Oryzias latipes: one gene and its partner. The protein of the gene in region 1 purifies or fractionates together with the protein of each later gene. This does not show direct contact. Links are inferred from orthologs where the notes say so. Each region holds a gene or a part of one and is shown on either strand. Other genes may lie near its edges.

Region 1 (4,573 bases):
CACAAGTCTCAGCGTGTTGTATTTCTACAACCCACCTTCATGCCAAAGGCTTGCATTCTCGTGGCAACTTCCTTCCCGATTCTTCCAAGTCCAACTATTCCTAGAACTTTGCCATACAGCTCTGAACCCATGAACTGCAGTGAAGGGAATAAAGCACCCAAAATCCAAACAATGAGAACCCAAGTGTCAGATGTGATTATTAACCAGCGGATGAACAGTGGAACCATCCATGCAACAGCAATTGCTTTATGAGCCGAAGCAAACGAAGGGCTAGATGGAAAGCCTCTGTTTACCTTTTTACGGTCCCAGTTCCCTTCTTTCATTGACATTACAGCTTGAGGCACATTCCTAAAATTAAACAAAAAAATTCTGATTAACAATCCCCTTGCTAATAGCAGGTCTGCTTACCGATGGTAGAAGAAAGGTACAGTTTGTACCTTGAAAGGCTCATCAGCAGTGCACATGTCAGCTCAGCGGCACTAATTGTGTTACCGCTTGGTGTGCTGGGAAAAAACAGTGGAAAGTTACACTGGGCCCTTCACGGTGACCAGAATCAGTATTTAAAACTGGGGACTCACTTCATGACAATGATGCCCTTATGGGTAGCAGCATTTACGTCCACATTATCCACACCGGTCCCAGCTCTCCCGATGATCTTGAGATTATGAGCGGCACTGATGATGTCAGCTGTTACTTTTGTTGCAGATCTGACCACAAGGCCATCATAGAGCTAAAATGTAAAGAAGTGATCAAAAGGCAGATGAACAAAACAGCTGTGATGTATAAAAATTTTACCCCACTTTATTATGAAATCCACTTAAATCCTGAATGCTGTTCAACAACATGACCATAACAAAAACTGTTTATAATTTATTTTGTGCCTAGGACTAACTTCTGATTAGCCGACTATAATGAAAATGGTGTTTTTGGTGTTTTTAACATGTTCTTGTGGCATTTTTCTGATGATGGAGGACATGTATAAAGATAATTCAGCGTAAAACTGCATTTCTGAGTATTTCTTTATTCAAATCACTGTGAATTTGGAGCAGATGCTGCTTAAAAGGGGCTTATTTGTGACGTCGAAATATGCAAGGTGGGATCACTATTAAAATAGCTTAAAAGATGATCAGAGGAGGTCTTTTAAAAATTTAGCTCTGTTATTTTTTGATTAACCACTAAAAATATAATTCTTGCAATCAGAACTTCAACTTATTGATCCTTTATATTGCATTTTTTTTAAAAGGAAGAAAAAAAAGTTACTTGTGCATTTGTGTTACCACTGTATTTTGTGGTTTAGGAGCATTAGCACAACACATGAAAAGTAGCACACTACAAATTAGCAACAGACAGAATATTATGTGTGCATAAAACATGAACGAGTAAGCTATCTTTGCTGTAATGCTCTACAGTAACTTGTGATTGAAGAACTTTTTCCTTCAAAGTCCCTCTCCGATCAGAAAATCAAAAAACCTGTGACATTTTCTAGGACATACTTTCTGCAGAGCTGTAGTAGTTCATTAGAAATTTGCTTCTGAGCTGTGGGCGGGACTGTTGGCTTGGGAGTAAGCCGGCCCCCTTCCAATCTGTTTACATGCTTTCCCACTAGTTTACAGCCCCTCCCACCCTCAACAAAAAATTACTGGTGCAAAAAATTAGCTAGCAATATTGGAGCTATCCAGCTGTACAGTTTTGAGCCAGATGCCAGCTCAGACCAGGAAAACAAAGACGTTCATGGATCTCTTTGTCTGCAAGTGGATGCATTAGAATAGATCGGAACAGGGGGCTTGTGGCTTGCCTTGGTAGCGTCTGCATCGCAAATCTTTTTCGCGATTGCCTGATTCACAATTATTTGAATAAAGAAAGACTCAGAAAATGCTATTTTAGGCTTAAATTTCTCAAAGTTTGTCCTCCATCATGAGAAAATGCAGCAAGAACATGTTAAAATGCCAAAAACACGATTTACATCAGAGTGGATCTTTAACTATAGATGTTCAATAAATTTACAGCTTTATAGTCTTCTACCTACATTTTAAACTGAAATCTTATAAATGGTGCCCATGACTTCAATTTGGCCCAAGGACTCAAATCATGACGAATCCGGCCCTGGGAATCAGCTCCAATAACAACAGTCATTCAGATGGAGCAAATAAAAAAATAATTGAAAAAAAGTTCAGCAACTTTTCTTTTCTTTTATTAGATTGGATGTAATCTGATAAATTTTACAGTTCAAGGACACAGCTGGTTCGACGGGGGTGCGCAGAGGAATGCGTCTAAAGAAAAGTCAAAGATGAGTTGCATCAGCCTCCCGCTCTCCTATAGGGCGGAACTGAGCTGAGATCATCTGGGTAATCGGACTCCACGTGCAAAATCCAGCAAGCATGTCTCTACATGCATCCATTAAAGCACGTTATCGAGATAAAGGACGTACGCGCAGGAATACGGTGCGTGAGAGAAAAGTGCCCCGATGCCCTCGGAGCCTCCACAACAAAAGACCCGCTCTTACCCCAATCTCTGCAATCAATTCCTCTTTCTTCATGTTCTGCTTCTCCGTCACTAGGATGCCGTTTTCCTCCAGGATCGCCCTGCAGCGGGGATCGACACTTTCACTGATTAGCACGGATTTGATGGAGGTCGGGGCCATCTTGGGATTTTTCTCTGTGGGGTTGCGGATGCGGGGCAGCCGGTTAGGAGAGTTGGTGAACTGATGATGATGATGATGATGGGTCCTCTTCAGAGTTCCTCCCCCAAAACCCCTAGTCTTTTGAAACGGCTTTCTCCAAGCTGAAAGCATGCGTGGTCCCGCCTCCCGCACATCACCCGTTCAGGCGTGACTGGAGATGAATTCGAAGAGTCACTCTTTAGAGCTCTGCCAGCAGAAAACCCACTGAAAAAAAGCACCTCTTTTTGCAAAATGAAGAACCAAAACAGCTGCGATGGTTATAGTTTTATGTAGGAACTCATGAACTAGCGCAATAGTTGTAACCCAAGTGGCTTTTAATTTAAAAAAGGGCAAAAAAATGTAGGAAATACAATGGATAAAGGAGTGAAAACTGTGTGTACTGCTAATTGCTGGAGAGATTCTATAATGTAAGCACTAATATTGAATAAATAACTTTATTGGTGCTGAATTAACTGAAGAAGATGGGGAAAAAACAAAAACAAACAAAGAAAATCTGGTCTAAATAGCAGAGGATGCTACAACTTCCAAAGGTGCCAGAATAACGACATAATGGTGAAACAGGTAGAAAAAAAAAACAATATTGTTTTAAAAATGTTATAGATAATCATAAAAAAATCTTAAATTGTTTGAAAAAAATCTAAAAGGAAATAAATGTGTAAAATTGAAATTGGAAAAACAAAAAACTCAATAGCAATAGTTGCTTATGATAATTATTTAGTTAGTAATGCAAAAGCCAGGGGTTATATAAGTTTGCCCCCTCCCATTCCCTTTCACGCAATCAATTCAACTACTTTGGTCAAACCTAATTGTTTCTTTGTGTGATGCAAAAGAGCTAATGATTAAGAGTAATAAAAAAATTTTTTTATGTGGATGTATGCACATTTTCCAATCAATTTTATGACTAATTATCCCATATTTGATATATTTCTGCATAGATTTCAGTTGTTTGTTTTGTTTTTTGCTTTCTTTTGCTTTGATATATACACTGTATATGCCACAAGTAACTTTTTAAAGTGTTGACAAAAATAAGAACTATAAAGCCAAAAATCTACAGAATCGATAAAAGTCCAAATTATCTTTTTTGCAGAAAGTATTCTATCTTTCTTTTTTCAATTTGAGAACAAAGTTTCAACAAGGAATTTGTATCTTAAAAGGGACCATAAACTGAAAGTGCAAGTACAAATCTCCAGAAAGGGCAAAAAATTGAGACAAAACTTAGCGCCTCGTTTTCTATTTTCCTCTTTTACAATATTTAATGAGGGATACATATCTTATTTAGTCACTGTACCTTTAATCATGTGGTTTAAGCATGTAGCATTTCAAATGATAGTCAAAGATTTGTTACTGTGTAACGCCAGAACGAAGAGAGAAACCAAATTAAAAAGTATACTTCTTCAATTTGTCCAGAAAATCAGATCATGTGACGCTAGATTTAAGACACTGTTGATCTCCTGACTCATTAAACAGCATATGACAGGCTGTGTAATCTAATGTTGGCCTATAGGTCATTCAGCATATGTCTAACCACATCAATATTAATACAGGGATTTTTTTTGAATTTATAAAGTTTATGACCAATTTACATTTTTTTCTCTTTTTTTTTCAGTCAAACATTTATTATGGATTGCATTATTTACTTTATTTTAAAAACAACTTTAAGAAATGACACAAGTATTTTCATAGTTACTATTGGCTTAATTTATGATAGGAAAATGTGTGCTGTGTTAAAGTTTATTGTTATTATGATGTGACTGAGATTAAATAAAATTGTAGTCTATTGAAATAGAATTGAAGTCAGGTTTAATTTTCAGCCAAAATAAATAAATAAATAAAAAGAACGAGTCAAAGGCTGGACTACCCTTGTTTTTCTAACCTAAGTAAATAGACTCCTGT
Region 2 (4,498 bases), on another chromosome or scaffold:
ACTGGCTGCCATCACAACGAGCGGTCACTGCTTGGATTTCTCACACCACTGTTATGCTTATCACCAGTGTGCGCTCCCGCCTTTGTACCTCCACCCTGGGGTCCGTTGGCCTCTGTTGTGACAACCCGTTTCTGCTCTCTGAAACACAGCTTTCATCTCTCCTATGAAGCTGACATCAGGAGCCAACAGCTTTAGCTCACAATACTAAGTGAAAGAAATACTCGCTCACAGGGGAGCAGCGTGTATAGAAACTAGGCTCAGATGAGGGATCTAGTAGAGCTTTCCTGACACTTACTGGGAAGTTGCATAAGGAACATCTTCTGTTACACTGTCAAATTTGCTGAAGCTTTTCACTTCTTTAACAAAAACTTTGTTGTTTTTTTTGTCCTTAAGGCACATGATGCATTCTCCTTAAAACCTATAATATAATTGTAATAAAATAAACACAAAAAAAACAACTAGTACCAAGAACTGCTATAAGAATAATAACAGAAAAAACAAGTTTAATGAGCACAAAGAAGAAACAAACAGGATGGTGACATCATCCACTGGTTTAATCAAGTAACAAGAGCTAGAATTAGTGGCATTTAGTTACTAATAGGATTTAGAATGCAAATTGTCCTCTGCATCAGTTTCCTAGTAGATTTTGAATAAGATGAAAATGTGACATAGAGAGCATGAAATGGGATGATTGAAAGTCACAATTAAACATTGTCTTTTCTGTACAACAAATAAAAATAGTGCCATCTTGTTGGTGAGTTAAAAAAAAAAGAAAAAAATAGTCTCCTAGTAAATTATGACAAAATTGCAATTTTTCTAAATAAAGGGATTAAAAAAAAATCCTGAACTAAACTTTCAACACTGTTTTCTTGTTTGGTTTTTATGGCTCCACTAACGGGCCACAGGCTTTTTGTGGCTTCGTTTAAATCAAGACATACGGTAGTCCAATGGTGCCTCTTTGTGGACAAAATCATTCATTGCATTTTTAAAAATAAACAAAATACTCACATAGTAAAAATAATCAATATATTTAAGGTGTACTCTGTTACAATTTAAAAGATATTTAAATCAATTCATTTTTTCAATTATGTAAAAATAAAAAGAAAGAAAGAAAAAAAGAAATTAACATGCACACAGACAAATAAATAATAAAGGAAGTGAAAGTTTCAACTGATGTTTCTGTTACCATTTGTCCTTGTTAGTTCTTGATTTTTATACTCTGCTTTCAGTTTCTCTGTTTGATGGATAACCAAGGTTATTATGCTTCTAAAATTTTGCAAAAATAGGCACTGCTATTTGTTAGCTATTTTTGTCTCTAATTGACTCCTCTATATTCACTCTTCTTAGTTGACCTAAATGAAGGCAGGGCTCTCGTACACGTGCACAAAACAAACAATAGAAGAAGAACATTTATTTAATCAATGGAGGACTTCGTGTTTACTTTTCTTTCCTTTGACTAAACAGCTTCAAATGCGGCATGATTTTTAATACAAGGTTTGTGCAACAAAATAAAATTTAAAAAATGCATTTTTATGTTTGTTTCTGGGCTGTTTTGAATTGTGACTGGTGTGAAAAGTATATGAATTAATCATGAGTTATACCAGCATGGCATGATGAAAACACAGCTACAGGGGGTGCGGTCTTTCCTGTAAGGAAGCACGGAAGCGGAAATTCGGCCATCTCCTCGTACATTCAAGCTGCAACAGGGTTAGTACACACTTCATTTAGGTATTTATTTATTGTTTTGTTTGCATCTCCAACAGTTTTGCCCATATGACTTTTTGATGAGTGTCTTCAACACTCCCCCGCAGCAGAACACGCGTTTTAAATGCCGCACAACAAAGCAGTCAGATGGCATTCACGAACTAGCATCAGAAGCTAGCTAGCTAACAGTTACATTCAAGGAGCAGCAAGTGATTTCTTGGTATGGGAAACTGTCAGGTAACGTTACCTTCGTGTTCACTCTGCTGAGGGTCAGCGATATGACGTGAAGATTTCTATTTGGTTTGCATTAGTTAGCCCGCTTCTTTGCTCCCGTCTTGTGGACCCAAGTTAATAGTTTACCTAGACTTTACTTAGACAAACTGTTTCGATTAGCCATATGCTAGCTAGCTAATGTTAGCCATAAAATGACAGCTACTTTTAGTTACGTGTTTTTTTTTTTGTTTTTAACTTTTGTCTCACATAAAGACTTGGCGACACCATAGTATTCTGTATAATTGCTGAATGGTGTTGTACCTATTTGGCTTCTTTAAAGGCGTTCATACGTTAAGAGTTGCATAACGTGTATTAATATTAGGTTGCTAGCCAACCTTTAGCTTGTTAACTTAATAGGTGTGACAGGCAAAATCCAATTTTGTCTGACTGGGTAACGGTTGTTGGCTTATCTACAGTTTAGTTATCTGGATGGAAACCTTTTCTTTACGGGCCTGCGCACCGTCAACTGCATGATAACACAAGAGAGGAGGAATAATTGAAAGTAAGTTGAGTTCAGTGTCAGCTCTGCTACTTGATGTTAGTTTGAATTAAATTAAAAGTTTCAATCAAGCTAATACCAGAGCTCTCACTTTTTTAATGTTAAGTTTTAAATTGTGGCCTGGATGTATTATCTTATATTAGTTCTAGCTTTACTAGCCAAGTTAGTTTTAATATTGCCAAAAATATTACGATTTTTTTTTCCCGAGATGTAACTGAGCTGAATGTTTTTTTGTTTGTTTGTTTTTATTAGTAGAACAAGTTGAACCTTCCAGCTGCTTAACTTCAGTGTCAACATATTCCAGAACCTCAACCTTACACACAAGGTGTGTTTGTACTTTGCTCAGCCATGCTGCGAGTGACAAAGGTTAAAAAATAGTTAACCACTAAATGAAATTCGCGTTTTTCAAAATTTAGATTTTGAGATTGAAGTCAAAGCTGTAAAAATAATCATAAATCAAAGTTGTCAGTAAATGTTCATAGATGAGCTTAAAATCATGAGCAAATTTAGTTTTATCAATGTTACTAGCAAGTTGAGGGAGTGGTCCTGCTATCAGCTGCTGTCATTAGAAGTTAACAAAGTGGCGGCAATCTTTATGCAGGTCAGTGTTATGTCACATAGGTGTAGTTCATGTTAGGCTTGCCAACATTTTCCTGAATAAATAACTGCACTATTCTGTTAAGTGCATGGGAAGCGTGATAGACAATATGTTCTTAAAGGTTTGGGGGGAGAATGAAGACGTGTTTTTTTTCTTTCTTATTTTAGCAAAAATAATGCAAAATTAGCTTTTTCGTCTCTCAAAATTAAAAGATTTAGGGTTAAGCTGTTGTTTTTTGTGACTTAAAATAAAACACCCTTTTACTACAAATGTTAAGTGTGTGGAGATACTGTAACATTTAGCTGCAATATTTAGTTTAGCATGCTGATGGTTTATTCATTCAAAAAAGTGGATCATGATGTTTCATAATCCACTGTTTTTAGTCAAACTGTTGGTGGACTCTGAAATTGTAATCCCTTTAGTATCACTCCATAATCAGTCATTTCCATTTAAATTTGTTTTTTTTATAAATATATTTGTTGCGTGTTCTTTACAGTTGGTATAGATGAATGAGCCTGATCTTCTCGTACCATTACTTGTATACAAATGAAAAACAATGTAGTATTGGAGTTAATTCAAGACCCTTTACATGACCACCTATTAATGAAATTATCAATTTGCTGCTTTTTGCATCACACCTCTTCATTTTTAAGAAAACTCAAATTGCATCTCTAGAAAATTTGGGGTTTGTTGCATCCATTTTGTTGTTGTTGTGGTTTTGTACCAAAAGTTGAGGTTTTAGTTGTTAGGGAAAGTACAAAAGGGAAAGGATACATCTGGTCAGCAACTATGGTTTAACCTGCTGTGCAAGCAATTGAGAACAAACGATACACAAGAGGGAATGGCCTGGGGTGAAACGGTGGGCCTCATAATATTTCACATAATCATGCATAGCATGAAGTAAAACAGATTAGGTCATGTCTGTGATTATTTTAAAAACGAAAGCACTAATAAAAACAACAGCTTACTGACCCCAGACTCCTCAGCCTTACTTTTTGGTCCTTTTGACTCATTGTAGGTTTTAACGACATTGTACCTAAACTTATGCTTTTATTAGAAAAGCTGTGTTTATAATTACAGTTTATTGTTATTATAACCATTGTTTTCTTTTGGTTTCTAGCTGTTAGTGGTGAAATAAGGGAAGTTGTTTACAGAACTTTAAGTAACAGATCTTTTTCACAACCTAATTCAATGACCTCTTGAAGTTTTAAAGGACTTGCTAGTAAGCTGCATGTGTTTCGATTCTTTTAAAAAATATGGACGCTTCCCTCTAAAGCTCATAAAGCAGCAGCAGAACACTGAGACATGCAACTCTTTGCTTTTACTCTGACACACAGCTTTTCTTTTTTTTAAATTAAACCAATTTAAGACTTGATTTGAAAAAGTGTTTACAAACTCATTTTATTTATTAACCTTTTCAGAAT

What was found.
Region 2: the proteins of phgdh (region 1) and epsin-1 purify together in Homo sapiens (affinity purification with mass spectrometry; 3 studies listed by BioGRID and IntAct, with this or other methods). This does not show direct contact. The link is inferred for Oryzias latipes from reciprocal best matches to the Homo sapiens genes PHGDH and EPN1.

What each region holds. Positions count from the first base shown.
Region 1 is NC_019879.2:21,728,100-21,732,672, reverse strand, and holds the start of phgdh (D-3-phosphoglycerate dehydrogenase), read right to left. Parts: upstream 2,867-4,573; 5' UTR 2,792-2,866; coding exon 2,504-2,791; intron 731-2,503; coding exon 579-730; intron 504-578; coding exon 438-503; intron 349-437; coding exon 294-348; intron 135-293; coding exon 36-134; intron 1-35. UniProt on the Homo sapiens protein: Catalyzes the reversible oxidation of 3-phospho-D-glycerate to 3-phosphonooxypyruvate, the first step of the phosphorylated L-serine biosynthesis pathway.
Region 2 is NC_019874.2:19,874,645-19,879,142, reverse strand, and holds the start of epsin-1, read left to right. Parts: upstream 1-1,554; 5' UTR 1,555-1,707; intron 1,708-1,714; exon of another isoform or gene 1,715-1,941; intron 1,942-2,393; 5' UTR 2,394-2,479; intron 2,480-2,728; exon of another isoform or gene 2,729-2,801; intron 2,802-4,498. UniProt on the Homo sapiens protein: Binds to membranes enriched in phosphatidylinositol 4,5-bisphosphate (PtdIns(4,5)P2). Modifies membrane curvature and facilitates the formation of clathrin-coated invaginations. Regulates receptor-mediated endocytosis.